2 linked regions of the Canis lupus familiaris genome follow. The protein of the gene in region 2 purifies or fractionates together with the protein of the main gene of each other region. This does not show direct contact. Links are inferred from orthologs where the notes say so. Each region holds a gene or a part of one and is shown on either strand. Other genes may lie near its edges. The genes, in order: IQGAP1 and MYL6.

The links.
Region 1: the proteins of MYL6 (region 2) and IQGAP1 purify together in Homo sapiens (affinity purification with mass spectrometry; 4 studies listed by BioGRID and IntAct, counting the BioPlex papers as one, with this or other methods). This does not show direct contact. The link is inferred for Canis lupus familiaris from reciprocal best matches to the Homo sapiens genes MYL6 and IQGAP1.

What each region holds. Positions count from the first base shown.
Region 1 is NC_049224.1:54,170,238-54,174,040, forward strand, and holds the end of IQGAP1 (ras GTPase-activating-like protein IQGAP1), read right to left. Parts: intron 3,087-3,803; coding exon 2,978-3,086; intron 1,167-2,977; coding exon 1,053-1,166; 3' UTR 270-1,052; downstream 1-269. UniProt on the Homo sapiens protein: Plays a crucial role in regulating the dynamics and assembly of the actin cytoskeleton.
Region 2 is NC_049231.1:828,566-833,095, reverse strand, and holds the start of MYL6 (myosin light polypeptide 6), read right to left. Parts: upstream 2,921-4,530; 5' UTR 2,790-2,920; coding exon 2,787-2,789; intron 2,543-2,786; coding exon 2,515-2,542; intron 1,644-2,514; coding exon 1,500-1,643; intron 1,272-1,499; coding exon 1,098-1,271; intron 1,007-1,097; coding exon 929-1,006; intron 660-928; coding exon 631-659; 3' UTR 615-630; intron 1-614. Other genes in the region: MYL6B (myosin light chain 6B), read right to left, coding at 3,353-3,381, 3,518-3,595, 4,046-4,219, 4,448-4,530. UniProt on the Homo sapiens protein: Regulatory light chain of myosin. Does not bind calcium.

The sequences.
Region 1 (3,803 bases), on a different chromosome or scaffold from region 2:
CATTTTATTTTATTTTTTAAAAAGATTTTATTTATCTATTCATGAGAGACAGAGAGAGGCAGAGACACAGGCAGAGGGAGAAGCAGGCCCCATGCAGGAAGCCCGACGTGGGACTCAATCCCGGGTCTCGAGGATCCTGCGCTGGGCCAAAGGTGCCGCTAAACTGCTAAGCCACCCGGGCTGCCCTAATGGTAACATTTTATTTTTTTTTATTTTATTTTTTTTTTTTAAAGATTTTATTTATTTATTCATGACAGAGAGAGAGAGAGAGAGAGAGAGAGAGAGAGAGAGAGAGGCAGAGATACAGACAGAGGGAGAAGCAGGCTCCATGCAGGGAGCCCGATGTGGGACTCGATCCTGAGTCTCAGGATCACACCCCAGGCTGCAGGCGGCGCCAAACCACTGCGCCACGGGGGCTGCCCTAATGGTAACATTTTAAAACTGTGTCTCCCCTTTGCTAGAAATGTTTCTTTGAACACAGAGCACTGACTTCTGTTAGCTCCTGCTTATAAAGGAAAACAGTGGAAGAGAACCAATGAGCCCCTGGATCCTTCCATTTGACCGATGGGATGGAAACGTAAAGGAATTTCACCTTCAAATGACAACTGAATGCCAGGAGATGACCTGACTTGTGAGTTGTGTGCCTTATGTGCATGTGTTATTCGTGTTGATAGATCCTACTTCCAAGTAACAAGAATTCAAGCCCCACCATCCCTGTTGCTAATTTAAACACCAAAGCTTACAATAGAGTAATGCAGCCTCTAAGACCATAACAACAGAGATTTTAGTGGAGCCTCCACTCTTTCCTAAGTGACGGAAGAAAATGAGGGGACAAGAGGGTCGGACAGCCTGAAATACAGTTTCACTATGAAGAAAGGGCAATAGACATCCCATCAGAGTGGGAGGGTTAAAAACGTGGCGTTGGGAGTGTATCAAGTTGAGGCTTTTTTGTGGCCTGGGTCTTTGCTTCCAATGAGTAAAGAAGGACCCAAGAAAGGTCACCGTGAGGAGCTTCTTTCCTTCATCCTTCTGGTCTGGTGGCAATGGATCAATTACTTCCCGTAGAACTTTTTGTTGAGGAGGAAGATCAGAAGGTTGACATTTACTTTAGCTCTATTAAATAATTTCATGACTGCGACTCCTTCATACTGTAGCTGCAGCAGGTCCTATAAAAACAACATTTTACAGTCAAACAAGTCTGTGGAATAAGAAAGGACATGATGTAGGGAGGGATCCAGAAGGAACAAGGAATGACAAATGTGAAGTGGTGTGAAAAAGAGGTGCCCAACCACAGAACGGTCCACTGCACAACCACCCTGAGACTCAAGGAATGGGACATGCTGCTCAACAGAATATTCTGGTACATCTGTATATCAAAATACACAAAACATGGAAAGAAAAAGCAGCATGTTCACTCATCACACATACTTCCTATTTCAGAGCTGACAATAACGTGTCTCCAGTTTGTCTAAGTGATGGGTCACCTGGGGAAGGGGGAGGCATTTCAATCTATGATAAAATATACTAATCACTGAAGACAGGATACAGCCACTAACGTCATCTCAATAGTATCCACTAGAGTCTTACTTTTTATTTCACGTGAGAAAATTTCTATATTTTGAAGGCAAGGGGAAGAAGGACAAAATGTTTATTAGGTGCCTCCAGTGTGCTCAACATTGGGTAGGCACATCAGATAGTGTCTTTTTAAGTCCTGATAAAAGTCCTATAGGTGTGATTATCCCGAGTTTAAAGATGAGGCTCAGAGATATTCAGAGTGGCATGGAGTGGATCTGGATCTGGATCTAGAGCCCCTGCTTCTCCCATTGCCCTCTACTGTCCAGAGCACATTTAGGAAGTGAGTAGTCTTGCACATGAACTTCAGAAGAGACAGAATGAGTCAAGGCACTTGAAAGAACCCAAAGTTCAAACAATGCAACTTCTGGAAAAATTCTAGCAGCTCCATGAGAACGAAGGCCCTGGTGTGTCACCTGTGCCTGACAGAACACCTGCACCTGATCCTCATTCTATATTTAATGCGCCTGTGCACGGATCAACATGCTACCGAGGCAGGCTGGTCGGCCTGTGCAACGCTGGTGAGACTAAAGACGTGACAGGATCTTTTTTTTTGGGTGTAAGCACCTGAGCATGTGCATCACAGAATCACTTCACTTTTGTTCAGCTAACATGTTTGAAGGTCTACTCATCACTAAGGAGGAAATGAAGACACACTACCGTGGGTCCTTAAGGAGCTCACGGTCTGGCAGGCATGTGTGCAGGAATAAATGAGAGGGCTGGGGGGTGGGCAGCAGGTGCAGAAGCCCAGCACACGTTCAGAGATGGCCCCTGCCCAGGCCCACAGAGCACAGCAGTGAGATGCAGTACAAGGAATGGGACAGAAGTGATGAGGACACACACGGAGCTGTGGAGCCTGGACAGAGCCCAGGAGGCCTTGTGGTACCCTGGTGCTTTTCTACTGCGTAAAGACTAGAAATATTTTGGAATAAAAAATAGGTTAAATTATGTTATAAATGATTCACTGCAGAGTTCTTCCCGAATTTAAAATGGGATTCAGTTTACAAAGATGCAATTTATACACATCTTGTCAGAAATACACTTTTAAGTCCCCAAAATCAAATCAAAATGAGAAAAGATTTCAAGCTATTGAATAGGTTTACAATTTTCTACTATCATTACTTAAACATTTTGTTCAACGTCAAGGTACCAGTTCAATTTAGTGCCAACACTAAGTAGTAGCTTCAGATAAAAGCTTTCAGAAGACGTCCAGATCTGCCCAAGCTCTCCAGGGAGTACAGACCAAGTCAGATGCACAGCAGCCCTCAGCTCCTTTCCCGCCTGTGTGGGCGCTGGCTCAATGCAGGGTGATCCAAACATGTGTCTTTTTTACCTACTGTCCACCCCAAAAAGAACACAACCACATCACATATAAAGTTTTCAGTTCTGTATGGTGCATACCCACCTGATAATGCAACATAAATGTCTCCATTTGAACACCCATGAACTTGGCTTTCACTTCAAAGTCTCCAACTTCTTCTGTTGGACTGATTTCAAAGATAACATTTTTAAACCTGTTGAAACATAACATCATAAGGGTGTGATTTTTTTCATTCTCATATAAAAATATTCTGTGAAATGTAGAAAGAATATTAACAATCTTCAAGGGGTGCCTGGGTGGCTCAGTTTGTGAAGCATCTGCCTTTGGCTCAGGTCAAGATCCTAGAGTCCTGGGATTAAGCCCCACGTGGGGCTCCCTGTTCAGCGGGGAGTCTGCTCCTGCCTCTCCCTCTGCTCCTCCTCCCACTTGCGCTCTCCCTCTCTCTTTCTCAAATAAACATATAAAATCTTAAAAAGAACAAAACAATCTTTCTTCAAGAGTGAAAAGGGGTACCAAATAAAGGCCCAAAACACTTCTACAGGTAGAACAGTGTGTGGCTACTACTCTAACTACCACATGCTCGGAGACTTGGGGAGAGCCGGGAACCTCTCCCTGCAGCCCTTGCATGCTGTGGGAAGAGGGACCATGGAGGAATGCCACCCTCTGAAAGGATGATGTCACAGGAATTCTCTTGGCTTTCCCCGTGGCCACTGCTTAAATCCAATGGTAAAAGGATAATCAAGGGGAAACTAGACTGGAAGGAGAGGGAGGAAAGGATGAATGCATGTTTGAGGATTGTAAGAAGTGTGTAAGTAAACAAAAAGGGGTCAGAACAAAAAGCCATGAGAGGGGGTGCCATAGATACAAATGCACTCAGTACCAAGTACCACCAAAGATACATTGCTATTTA
Region 2 (4,530 bases):
AGCATGGGTATGTGCCCGCAGAAACCAACCTTGGCTTTGCAGAGGAGCCACCTTGAGTCTGCCCAGTTCTCTCGGCCCCCAGCTCCCCTCCCACCAGCTGTTAGCCCCCCACCCTACCCTGAGCAGCAAGAACACAGCAGGAGGCAGAAAAGTTCTCAACTACACCTACAGCTATTGTCAGCCATTGGCAGGAGAAGACAGAGATTTGGGTTAGGGTACCTCCAAGCTGCCCAGCAGAAGGAAGAAGAAATGACTATTCTGCTACAGCAGCACAATGGGGCAGGCGACACCCCCCCCCCCATGCCAACCACCTGGGCCCCAGGGCCAAAGGATCACCCTGAAGCAAGATGGGGACCGGCTGGTGCAAGTTCCCAGACACCGGCACCTGGACCCTAGAAGCAAAACCTCAGAGCCCATTCTAGGAGAGGAGGTACCACACCCCCAGGCTGTCTTCCTCTTTGAGGAACCCCTCCCCTGCCCAGTCAGCTCCATGCAGAAACATGCTAGGAGGAAGTCAGATGGTAGTAGGGGAGGGGCAGGGACTAGAGAGCAGAGGTTGGGGAGAAAAACACTGGGGAGGGCGACTAGAGAAGGGAGGCTGGGAGGAGCCGTACCCGCCCCATGGGCCGGTCACCCCGACAGGATATGCCTCACAAACGCTGCAGGAAGGAAGAGACACTCATGGTGAAGACAAGACACAGACATGGGGTGAAGGGTTCAGGTGGTGGGGGAACAGACATTCCCTTTATTTTACTTCCCGTTCCTTCCCCACCCTTCACACATTACCCTTTTCTTTCCTGTCATATACCCCCATGGCCTCCCGCTCCCGGGCTGGGCCAGGCCCTGCCCTTTGCCTCCGGAGCCCCAAACACTTGGGCAAGAGCTGCCTGTACAACCGCTTCCTCCACGAGAGCCCCAAGTCCCTCACCTTCATAGTTGATACAACCATTGCTGTCCTCATGCCCCGCCACCAGCATCTCTACTTCTTCCTCCGTCATCTTCTCACCTGCAGAAGGAAAGAAAAGCATTCTGGGATCTGGGTGGCAAGTGTGTGTCAGGTGGCACCTCAGCTCAAAGGAGCAAGGGCAGAGCCTTACCCAGCGTGACAAGAACGTGCCGGATTTCAGCACCCATGACGGTGCCATTCCCTTCCTTGTCAAACACCCGAAGGCCTTCGACGTAGTCCTCATAGGTGCCCTGGTCCTTGTTCTTGGCCACAGTCTGCAGCATGGGCAGGAAGTGTTCAAAGTCCAGCACCTTCACATTCATCTCTGCCATAAAGGAGGGGGAAGGAAAGTCACCCGGGTCCTCAGGACTGAGGAGACTACAGGGCTCCCACGGGGGCAGGGGGCTCCCACTGAAAGCAGGAGTAATCTGTGGGATTTGCTAGTTGAGACAAATGTGCTTGAGGTCTGGGCCCATGAAGATAAAGGGAAGCTCTTAGCTAAAGAACTGTAGGCCCATTACCACACTGAGGAATAGTTCCTGAGGACCCTCACCATCGCTCTTGGGGTTCCCCAGGACCTTGAGCACCTCGGCGTTGGTGGGGTTCTGGCCCAGGGCCCTCATCACGTCCCCACACTGGCTGTACAGGATCTTGCCATCCCCTGTTCGATCGAACAGCTGAAAGGCCTCCTTGAACTCTGAAGATTCAGACAAGATCAGCACTGAGCATGCGGGGGTTGACCCAAACCCTGCCTCCCAAACCCCCTCTGCCCAGTCAACTCTTGATCATGCTGAGGAGACCAGGTGTTTGTACCACTGTACGCCCAGGCCCGCTGAGAGGGATCTAGCGTCCCTGCGTCCCTGCTCAGGCGTTCCACATAACGACACGGCCTCCCCCTCCCCAGGGCTGAAGGGTAACAGCCACTTACACGCCCCTCTGCCGACAGCAAGCCCGCCCAGCCTCCTCACTACACTCAGGGCAGGAATTCGCCACCGCCCAGTCTGGGTCCTGTCCTTATAAGGAAGAGGGAGCAGCAGCCGGGGACCGGGGTCATCCCTGCCTGCCACTTCCCACCTCTCCGGTACAGACTTCTAGAGGGCACTGCTATGAAATATCCTCAGCAAATTCCCGTCCCCATTTTCACAGAATTCCAGGTCACTGCTTTCTACACTCTTCACAATCCCGGACTGGGCGGGGGGGGGGGGGGGGGGGGAGCTGGGGGTGGTGTTATCACAGGAGGAGGAAAGAGGCAGAAGCTGATTAAGGGACGGAGGAGCGCAGGCAACTTAATACACCCTCCCCGCCCCGCACACACCGCAGGCGTTAGGTGACCAAGTTGTCTCATGCCCACACCGCCTAACACTCACCCGGGGCTTGGGGCTCGGATCTAGAGTGGAAGGGGAGGGAGGAAGAAAGAGTGAGAAGAGAAAATGGAGGATGCCGAGGAGGGAGAGGAGACGGCAGGAAGTAGGTCCCGGGGGGAAGAGAGGGCCGGCCTGGTGGGGGTAGTGCTGGAGGCGGGGGCCCCTCTCCCGAGACGCGACCTCAGCGGGTCGGGGCTTACGTACCGGCGGTCTGGTCCTCGGTGAAATCACACTGCTCAGGGAAGAGGGGGGCCGTCAGCATCTCAACTGCAGCCCCCAAGCGTCCATCCCCGTCCCGCCAACTGAACCACTAAGTCCTGCTCCGTGCTGGGGACTCGCTTCCCGCCAGGACAAGACCCCCGAACTCTCCAACCCCGCCCCCGACCTGCCAGGCCCTCGGGTTCGCTCCGCAAAGCCCCGCCCCGGCCTCCCGCCTCGCCCCGAGCCACGCTCCGCGTCCCGGGCCCGGGCCCCACCATCGCGACGGCGCGCCTCTGCGGGACCCTCTCCTGCAGCAATGGCTCCGGCGCCCGGCCCTGCCCTAGTCCTCGTGCGTCCCCGTGACGTCACAGCGCCGGCCCAGCCAATAGAAACGGCGGCCCGGCCTTATGCAGATGAGGGCGCTACGTTAGTAATGAGGTGGGCGGGGCCTCCGCTCCTCCCTCTGGCGCCGCGCTCCCTGCGGGGGGCCGAGCTGCGGCGGCGGGTGGAGCCAGGCGCGAGGAATCGGAGGGTCGGCGATCCCGGAGAGGAGAGGCCGCCCCCCGTCTCCCCCCCCACCAAGAAAGCAGCAGTCGGACGCCTAGGGAGGAGCCGTCTCTTTATTTTGAAACAACAGGGGACCTCCTAGTGGCAGGAACGTGCTTCCATCGCCGGGGAGGGGCGCCGAGTCCAGCCCCACCGCGCCTGTGGAAACGAGGCAAGCTGCCGAGGGCGGTCGCTCGCGCGGCGCCGTGGGCTCGCCTTCCCGGCTCCGTGGCCCCGCCGAGGGGAGGGACGGAAGCTGCCTCGAGCGCAGCGGGACGGCCCTACCTGTAGGAGCTCAGACGCTGAGGATGTGCTTCAGGAAGGCTGCGGAGACGAGGCGGGAGGGTTCAGAAGCAGGCCCGGCTCCGGGTTCAGATAATCCGGGTCCGTCCCCCCCACCCGGACCGCGAGCCCCGGCCCCGCCGCTCCCGCCGCTCCCGCCGCTCCCGCGGCCCCTCACCTTCATAGTTGATGCAGCCGTTGCTGTCCTCATGTCCGGCCAGGACGGTCTCCACCTCCTCCTCAGTCATCCTCTCTCCTGAGCCCGACAGAACAGATCAGTCCCTGCCCACCCCCCCGCCCTTCCTCTTCCGGGCGGTGCCCCCCCCCCCCCCAAGCTTGGCGCCGAGCCGAAGCCCAAAGGAATCCTGGTAAGGGCCCCTCAGTGTGCCCTGCCTCTCCCTCCCACTGCACCTGCCCGCGCGCCTGGTCAACGCCTCCACGGAGGGAAAGGGGACGGGGGCCCCAGGTCACAGAGCGCAGGCCTCTCTCCCACAGCAAAAAGTCAGGCTTTCCACCTCACCCCTCTCCTCTGTCCTGTGGGAGGCAACTGCACCCCCTCCCCTTACCTTCGGGTTCTGCCCCAGGGCTCCGACCTCCTTAGCCCCTGCCCATGGCCTGTAGGGCGGTAATGCTTCCCGGCCCTGCCTCCGTGCCTACTGGTCTGGCCCCTGCTCCCCGCCCGCCCCGAGTTCCGTCCCTGCCTCACCCAGGGTGGTGAGCACGTGTCTGAGCTCCGCGCCCATGACTTTGCCGTTCCCCTCTTTGTCAAACACTCGAAGCCCCTCCAGGTAGTCCTCGTATGTCCCTTGGTCCCGGTTCTTGGAGACTGCTTGGAGCATGGGCAGGAAAGTCTCGAAGTCCACACGCCGGGACTTCAGCTCTGGAGGTTGGAAACGGGAGGGAGGGGTCACTGTAGTGTCACCTTGGGCCCAGCTCCATCCCTACCACGAAGCTTTTCATCCCATTCAACGTTCAGGATGTTTTTTTAAAGGTGTCTGACAGTGTTTGAAGTCCCAAGAGCCACCCCAGCATCCTTTGTCACCTTGCCACCATTCCTCGGTTCCACCACCACACTGAAAAACCGCATTGCTCCAGGCATCCCCCTCACCATCACTCTTGGGGTTCCCCAGGATCCTGAGCACCTCGGCGTTGGTGGGGTTCTGGCCCAGAGCCCTCATCACATCCCCACAC